Linked DNA regions of Cricetulus griseus. The protein of the gene in region 1 purifies or fractionates together with the protein of each later gene. This does not show direct contact. Links are inferred from orthologs where the notes say so. Each region holds a gene or a part of one and is shown on either strand. Other genes may lie near its edges. The genes, in order: Nod2 and Ripk2.

Region 1 (4,377 bases):
CAGGAGCTCTCTCCAGATATTCCAAGAGCTGGCCAGATACCCAAACCATACACACCCAGACAATGACGTCAGTCCTGTGGACACAGGCAGGGTGAGGCAGGAAAGCCGTGTGGCTCGGTGCTCTGCCTCCATCCACAGCTGGAAAGTCCCATCTTGCCAGTCTCCTGCATACCACAAAGCAAGGCATAGCCCCACAGACCTATTCTGCCAGTCCCCTGCCTCTGAGTAGGCCATCTTTCTATCTCATCTTAAGCAGCTGGAAAAGAAGACCTGGGGTTGATACTATCGTCCTGACCAGCTGAGGAGTCCTTCATTAGTTTATCTTGTTCGGCTAAATTTGGAAGAAAAAGCAAAACGATAGATGCTCTTGTCACCTGTTTCATAAAAGCTGGTCTAGTATCCTGTTCCTGCACCTTCCTACTCAGTCAGACTCGTCCTCTCCAGGTTAAACAGGCTGTTCTGCTTCCCTGCCTTTTCTTCTCTATCCAGCTAGGGCCACCTTGGAGTCACTCTTAGGCTCTGCAAGACGGAACCCAAACAAAGGGGGCACCAGCTTGCTGAAACAGAGGGTCAAGGGTATCTACAGAGGCCCCTCTCAGCCAGGTGGTGGTGGCACATGCCTTTAATCCCAGCACTCAGGAGGCAGAGGCAAGCAGATCTCTGTGAGTTTGAAGTGAGCCTACAAGAGCTAGTTCCAGGACAGCCTCCAAAGCCGCAGAGAAACCCTGTCTCAAAAAACCAAAAAAAATTAAAAGTAAAAATAAAAATGAAAAAAAGCCCCTCTCATCCCCAAGCCCCCAAACACACACACACACACACACACACACACACACACACACACACACGTGCTCATGCACACGCCTGTGCCCCAGCACCTCCTTCCTTCCCAGGATCATAGGCAGCCTGGTTTTCCTTGAAGTTCCCAGCTGAGGATTTGTTTGAGAGCTGAACAATCCTTGCAGTGTCCCAGGCCTCCAGCAGATGGGAGAGGAAGGGAGGTCCCCAGAAGAGTGTCCTGGTCCTGGCTGGCCAAGCTTTCCCTGGGGCACTAACCCCACTCTCCATCTCCACTGAGTTGCTCCCCAGGACATCAGTTCCCATCATAGAACAAACAAACTAATTCATCCTTCATTTCTGCCCTCCCTTGTCTAGGCCTGAACTTCCCAGTCCTCCCTTCATCCTTCCCCCCCACCCCACAACCATTACAAGTGAAAATGCAAACCATGACTTCCAGTATTTGGCCTTCTGTTCCTGGTCTTCCTTTCTGACAAGGACTTTTGTTCTACCTGTTCACTCTCCTCCCTGGAGCACGTCTCTTGAGGCCATGAAGGATTTCTCTGACCTTCCTTCCCACATGCTAGCTACTCTTTCTAGCCATTCTGCCTCCAAGGCTGATAACACACCTCTGTACTGCCGCCGAACTGAATCACTGCCACTTCTCTGAGCCACTCTCTCCCCACATAAGCCCACCTCCCCACAGGCTTAAATTCCCAACTATGTGGCAGTGATGCCTGAAATGTCACTGACAGTTCTGGACAACATTCAACATCATGTGGTACCTACCAGCATCTCCAAACAACTCAATCACTGGACCTTCCTCCTAACAGCTAGCTCCTTTCTCAACTGAAAGTGGCCCCAAACTGCCAGAGTCATCCTTGACTCTGCCGCTCTCGGGCATCACAGACCATCCACCCAGCCTTCAACAGACCCCAAATCTGAAAGCCACAGTTTCTCTCTCCACCTCTCTCTATACCACAACATAAGCCCTGAAGCCTTCTCATGGTTCCTTCATCTGCCATGACCCCCTATAGGTCAATGTTAGTCACACAACTAGATGAACCTGCCAGATCTTAAGTCAGAGCAGAGACCTTATCTGTTCACAGCCCAGCCCACTAGTGGATCTCATCATAGTCAAAGCGAAAGCCAAAAGCCTTTATAGCAACCTCAAGCTCAATACAAGAGACCTCAACTTCCACCCCTTTCCTCCTAGCCTCCATTGACTCCCACCCTGCTGTAGCCCCTCACCTGCTTCCTCACTCTCAGAACAAGGGAGCCTGCTCTGGTCTGTGGTGCTCCTGCCTTTGCCTAAGCTTTATGCTCACAGGGCACTCTCTGTCCCACAGATAGTCACATGACTTGCCCATCACCTCCTTAAGATTTTGTTCAGTGGCCACTGTCTCAGAGGGGCCTTCCTATGCTATGTAGAACTGTGGTCCCCAAGCCCTGTCCCAGCATTTTCTCCCCACAGTCCTTTTCATCATCTGCCATGGCAAGCATTATCATGATACACTGCTGGAGCTCCTCTCTGGACCCTGTGCCTCACCCTGTGAATAGACTGGTCTGAATGAATGAGAATGTCTTTATTCCACACAGCTTGGGGAGGTAGCTGTGGAACCAGAGAGTAGCCATTACAAGGCACAGACTTTAGCCAATGGGCTAGTAGGAAGTGCCTGCTCACTGGGCCACAGTGAGTGCTGACCTGGGTGAGAGAGAGGGGCAAAGTGTGGGCCAGTGCCAGCTTGGAGCTGCATGTGGAGACCACCTGGCATCAAATGGCCAAGAAACCAGGGCCTCCAATAGCCTCACAACAGACTGACTGGAAGAGAAGCAACAGAGCTGTCACTTGGTCTTTTCCCCAATTGGGCAGAGGTGGCTGATGGAGCCAGCTTTTCTGACCCTGCAGAACCCTGGCCCTAGGGGGAGATCATACTCCCCCTAGGGCAGGAAAGCCAACAGCCTGCCCCAGGCCAGGACCCTGCAGGATCTGAAAAAAAAGAACAACAACAAAAAAAAAAAAAAAAAAAAAAAAAAAAAAACAGCCATGAGAGTTTCAACCAGCTACAGACCTACCCAGAGGCTTGGGAGCTAGCTTGTCCAGACATAGAGGCACCAATGACTTGAGAAGCATAAGAGAGGATCAAGCTTGAAAGCTGAGCTGGCACTGGGCAGGTGGCCGTGGGTCTCTCCAGGCAGAAACAGCTTTTGGCCCCAGCTCCCACACTTACAAATGAGTAAGGACAGGCAGGAGACACCTGCAAGGATCAGGGAGCAGCAGCTGGGGTCTCTGAAGACCAAAGACAGAGAAACTGAGGCCCACGGAGAGGGGACAACTGTGCCAGGAATGGCTCCTCCTGCGACCCAAAGCAGGATTTCCTCCTTCTGGGTAAGGACCTCACCTGCAAGTTTTCACCTCCACTGTCCCAGCCACCCCCAAACCTCAGCCTCCCCTTAGACTTCAAAGGATCCTGGGGCCTCAATGGGCTTCCCGTGCCCTAAACCTCTTCATCTTCAGTGACCACAGTCTGACACGGGTCCCCTCTCGAGAAGCCCCTTTCCTTCTACAGCCTATCTATTCTGCTGATGATTCCACAGGGAAACAGTTCCTTCTGGAAGGAAGCGCAGAGCCAGTTAACACCATCATAGGGATGGGACATTAGGCGCTCGTGTTCTCCACCACACCGAGCCCGACCCCTCCCCCCCCCCGGAGCACTAAGTCTGCCCCCAGAAAACCTCTTTTCACCCACCCACCCACCACCCCGAGCACCCGCAGACCACAGAAGCAGCAGGCAAGCACTCACCGCCAGCTGCAGCGCGGGGTTCCTCCGCCCGCCTGGTGGTGACTCCCTCCGTGATCTTGCCCCGCCCGTCGTTCCACCTACTTAGCCAGTGACCCCGCCCACTGTGGCGGATTCGGAAGGGCGGCCACACCCCTCCTGATTTCCCTCTGGGGACAGGTGGTAAGACAGGTATCTTGGAAGAAGCCTGCCTGCGGTGCAGTGTATCCTGCCCTTGTGTGGCCGGCTTTCTGGGCCACCTTCCAATTAGGAGGGAACCATAGAGTCCCGAGAACAAGAGACAGGAAAGCCCTCCCTGTCAGCAGGAACCGATGCACCCTCCCAGGGATCTGTAAGCCCTTTAGTCTTGATGGTTGCATTCCCAGATGGCTGTGCTGGGTGGAGACTTACTAGGACTTTAAAGTTACTCTCTTCCCCTTGGCCGTCAGTCCCATGCAAGCTGAGGAGAGGAGGTCACAGCATATTAGCACTTGCCTCCCACACAGTGCTGGGCTCTACCATCATCCTAATCAGAATTCAATAGTGTTGTTTTGTTTCTATTGCATTCATTTGATTTTATAACTTCCTATTCTTAATGTTATTTTTAATGATTTATTTAAATTTTATTTATTGTGCATCAGTGTGAAGGTGTCATATCCCCTGGAACTGGCGTTACAGTCAGTTGTGAGCTGCCATGTGGGTGCTGGGATTTGAGCCAGGTCATCTGGAAGAGCAGCCAGCTCTTAACCACTGAGCCGTCTCTCCAGCCCCTCTTAAAGTTATTTTTAAAACACTTGAATGTGAAGCCTCATAATGACATTGA
Region 2 (4,548 bases), on another chromosome or scaffold:
TAAGAAAACAAAGTGAAAAGTTTCTCTCTTCTCTGTCCATGACCTTGACAGTAAGGAAACCAGTTATATCAATCTGTGAGGCCCATTTAATTAAACTTCAATTTCTCAAGTTCTGTATTTGCCCAAGAGATACGGGTCAACAAGACAGTTGCTGTGTTTTCCTTATGGGATGAACCCGAAGATTCCTGGACACTGAGAAACATCCACAGAGAGAGTGCACTGTGGAAGTTCCAGCCACATGCATATATAAGATCCCCTTTCCTCCTCCTGTCCACAGTATGAAACAAGGGGTTGGAAGACAGTACAGCTGGTGAAGTGGTTGTTACACAAACAGGAGGATCTGAGTTTGATTCCTCAGAATCCACATAAAAAAGTCGACAACAATAAAACACTCTGAAACACTAACCTGCCCCTGAGATAAATGGTGGTCCTGAGGAACAATACCTGAAGTTGACCCCTGGCTTCCTTATCATGCACATGGACCAGTACGTACAACATGTGTGTATACACGAACACAAACACACATGCGCACACACATGAAAAAGTCTGATGTATTCTTCCTTCCTGTCAGCCACTTTATAAACACTAACTGTTCAATTGCCTCTCTAAAGCTGGCTCCATTACCTCCACTTTACATACAGGGACACCCAGAGTCGGAGAAATAAATGATCCTCTGGTGACCACAACCAAACAAAGCAACAGGATTAAAGTCAGATTCAAATTGTAGTCCTGGTACTCTAAGGTCTGTGTTTTTCCTAGTCTGTTGTTTGACCAGGAAAGCAAGTTGGACAGTTTATAAGGTTAGATTTCAACAAGACTAAGGGGGGAAATAAAACTAAAAGATTAAAAAAAGCTAAAAATGTAAAAGACAGTTTCAATGATTATATCACCAAAATTACCCAACTCAAAATTTCAATAGGAAACAGTTACCCCATCTCTAAGGTACCAAGTGGAGTCATCTATCCATTAAGGTAGGAAGTCTGCTATGTTAGGCCCACTCATTGGCTACAGAGAATGACTCATTAATCATTAAAATAATATGCCACGTCACAAAAATTTATTTTCCTCTCAGGTCATCTTAAAGAACAATGGGCACTTTATCTATACTAGATAGAGCACAACAAATATACGTACGTACGTGTTTATAATTCATATTTTATAAGTGAGGAAATAAGACACCCAAGTCAATTGCATAAGCCTACGCTTATGCACTTGTTAAGATCTTAGGCAACAAGAGAAAAGAATGAAATGCAGTAAGGTCACAGGATTTTGTTGGTCTTAGAAAGATAATTTTTTATCCAATTCAATGAAATTATACGATGATGTGGTTGGTGAAAATGGGAAAGCATCACCATCTTTGTCGCTTGGCCCACAAAAAGCATAACACTTTTGTAAATAAAAACCTTGGAAAGCAGAATCCAAAGTGAGAAATCACTTTGGTATACTCAATGGTCTACTAGTGCTACATATCCACAGAATATTTGTTTAATTGGCTTCTAGCCAGCCTCCCTTTAAAGTCGATCCCAGACAAACACACTTTACCCAGCACTAGCTCCACCGACTATAAGGCCCAGTATCTGAATCTGGATCATGGTACACAGAAAGTTTTAGTGTTCCAAACTTCAATGTGATCTAGCCCATGGTGGGGGGATAAAAGCTACTACAGGCAGATGAAAGTCCAATATTCTAGCTGGGCTGAAGACAAGAGAGGTCTCTGATGCTGGATATGACCTTACACCAGACATTAACAGCCTCTGGCCAATGGGGCCGCTATGAATTTTGTATTTTCACTCAAGATGCAGGAGAAGAGAACGTTGCAACTACGGATGTTAGTGCATTAAGAACTGAATGAATTCCGGAAGGAAAACACACAAGAGTACTGACCAGACTCTTTGACTAACACGTACAGTCACAGATCCATGGTATTTAGTTGCAATGTTTCCCGGAAACAGAAACCAAGGCTATTTTTTTTTCCTGATGTGGAAACTGGACTCAAATAATATCAGAATGTGAGGCAATCACATTTTTTTATATTCACAAATTTTGACCATTTAACAATCTTTGATTTCAATTTACTGTTACAAAAAAAAGCACACACTTCCTTTGAGGACTTCCAAAGTAAGAGCTCGAATAACAATGGCTAATGTAGAGTTTGATATCTGAACTTCATGACTGCATGTAATAAGCCACAAACAAGATAAAACCAATCTGATCAAAGCAAAACATGCAGGCTCTGGAGTAGCACTGATAAATATGGAGTGAAACACACATACAACCCTAGAAAATATTTTCACATGTAGTTAATATAAAAACACTGGTACATTTTTTAGTACTAAATATTCAAAATCTGGTGTGTATTTTGCACTCACTACATATTTCATTTCCAAAGCCCAGTTTCATGAGTTCCACGGCTCTTGTGGCTAACAGCTAGCTAAAAATAGAGCTAAGCCCACATGCACTGTACCAACACACGTCGGGTTCAATAAACAGGCTTTTAGAGGTGGCCGTGATTGCATGTTTTTGGAGGAGAGAGCGGACACCTCGGATGGGAGGAGAGGCGAGTTGGAAACTCTGACGCACGTCCAGGGCAGTTTCTCCCTTGGACCAAGATAGCCCCAGGGATAAGAACTGGCAGCTGCGGGGAGCTGGCGCATCACGGTCAGTGTGGCCGGACTGTGGCCGTGCGGGCCCGCGTCTGCGTGGGGCCCCGCGGCTGCACCCTACCTGTCGAGCAACGGCGTGTGGATGTGCAGGTGCTTCACGGCCACTCGCACGCGCCAATCCGCGTGGCGTGCCGACGACACGGTGCCCGAGGCGCCGCGGCTGAGGTAGTGCAGATCGGCGAGCTTGTGGTAGGGGATGGGAGGCAGTGCGCTGCAGATGGCGTCCCCGTTCATGGCTCTAGCTGAGCGGCGGCTCCGCTAGATCCTGGCGGTGGCCGGTGCAGTGCGGCGTCAGGTCGCCGGGCGGCCCATTCCCGCGTGGCCGCTGCAGTTCCGGCCGGGCGACTGTCCCTGGGAGTCCGTCCGTCTGCGGCCGCGCCAGGGAGGACCTTTCTCCGCACTCCTCCTCCTTCCGCGCTCCTCCCTCCGCGGACCCCTCCCTCCCCTGCTTCTCTTTCTGCGGTTTCCTCCCTCCACCCATCTCCTCAGCCTACTTCTTCTACCCGCGGCCCCTCCCTCCTCAGACTCCTCCTTCCGCAGACTCCTCTCTCCGCAGACTCCTCCTTTCGCTTCTCCCTCCTCAGGTTCCTCCCTCCGCAGGTTCCTCTCTCCGCAGGCTCCTCCCTCTGCAGGCGGCTCCCTCTGCAGGCTCCTCTCTCCGTAGGCGCCTGCTTCTTTTGGCTTTCTCCTCAGGCTCCTCTCTCTGCAGGCTCCTCCCCCTGCAGGCCCCTCCCTCCATCCCTCCCTCTGCAGGCTCCTCCCTCTGTCCACTCCTCTCTCCGTAGGCTCCTCCCTCCGCAGGCTCCTCCCTCTGCAGGCTCCTCCCTCAGCAGGCTCCTGGGTAACGTCAGCAGAGTGGGGGACTCAGCTCCCCCTCCCTCTCAGCCCTGTGGCTCTGCTCAGGCCTGGAGCACTTTTCCTCTGGGGAAAGTCCCTGCAGTGGCGTCCACGCCGGATTTTCCTTTGGCCTGGTGTCTGCCTTAGTCTCCAAACCCCAGAAGTGATGGGGTGGGGGTGACTCCTGCTGGGGAGCTCGGTGACATCTATATCGTCCCACTTCCTGAGCGATAACCATCTGCTGGCACTCGGTGACTACCACTTCAGGAGTGAGGTGGAGAGGTAAGCACTGTCACAGTGTGACAAATTGAGGTGTTTAGCCCCTGTGACATGCTCCTCTACCAGGAAACTTGCTGTTTTTATTCTCCAAAGCCTACGGACAAATTGAAAAACCACCATTTCTTGTGTTTGGGAAGGCTGCTATCTAAAACAAAAACAAAACAAAACACTCCAAAATAACAACAAAACCCCACACAAACAAAAAAGACTACCAAAACCCAATCACTATTCCATCTTTTTACTTAAAACACCTTTCTACTTAGATGACTGTTCAGTGGGATGTTTGGCACAAATTTAGTACCTCATATTTGTGTGCCATTTAGTTCTGTAATCCTATCCCTACCTGGATACTAAACTCTGTAATTGTGTCCCTTTTATGAATAGTGTAAAATATATATATCATCCACACATTCTTTCCTAAACTTTAGTTCTTCATAGTTTTACAAGTCTACAGTTTAGAAGTATGTGTTCTTGGGCTGGAGACACGGCCCAGCCATTAAAAGGCTTGGCAGTTCTTGCAGAGGATGGAGTTTTGCTATTGGCCTTACATCTGGTGACTCACAGCTGCCTGTACCTCCAGCTCCAGGGTCTCTGACCCCTCTTCTGGCTTTTGCAGTTTGCATACACATAAATAAAAATAAAACTTTGAGCTAGGTGGTAGTAGTGTACACTTTTAACCTAGCACTCTGGCAGGCAGAGATATCTCTGAGCTAGAAGCCACCCTGGTCTTCAGAGTGAGTTCCAGGACAGACAAGACTGCACAGAGAAA

What was found.
Region 2: the proteins of Nod2 (region 1) and Ripk2 purify together in Homo sapiens (affinity purification with western blotting; 12 studies listed by BioGRID and IntAct, with this or other methods). This does not show direct contact. The link is inferred for Cricetulus griseus from reciprocal best matches to the Homo sapiens genes NOD2 and RIPK2.

What each region holds. Positions count from the first base shown.
Region 1 is NC_048596.1:164,270,995-164,275,371, reverse strand, and holds the start of Nod2 (nucleotide-binding oligomerization domain-containing protein 2), read right to left. Parts: upstream 2,981-4,377; 5' UTR 2,909-2,980; coding exon 2,851-2,908; intron 648-2,850; exon of another isoform or gene 56-647; intron 1-55. UniProt on the Homo sapiens protein: Pattern recognition receptor (PRR) that detects bacterial peptidoglycan fragments and other danger signals and plays an important role in gastrointestinal immunity.
Region 2 is NC_048595.1:130,017,562-130,022,109, forward strand, and holds the start of Ripk2 (receptor-interacting serine/threonine-protein kinase 2), read right to left. Parts: upstream 3,052-4,548; 5' UTR 2,898-3,051; coding exon 2,725-2,897; intron 1-2,724.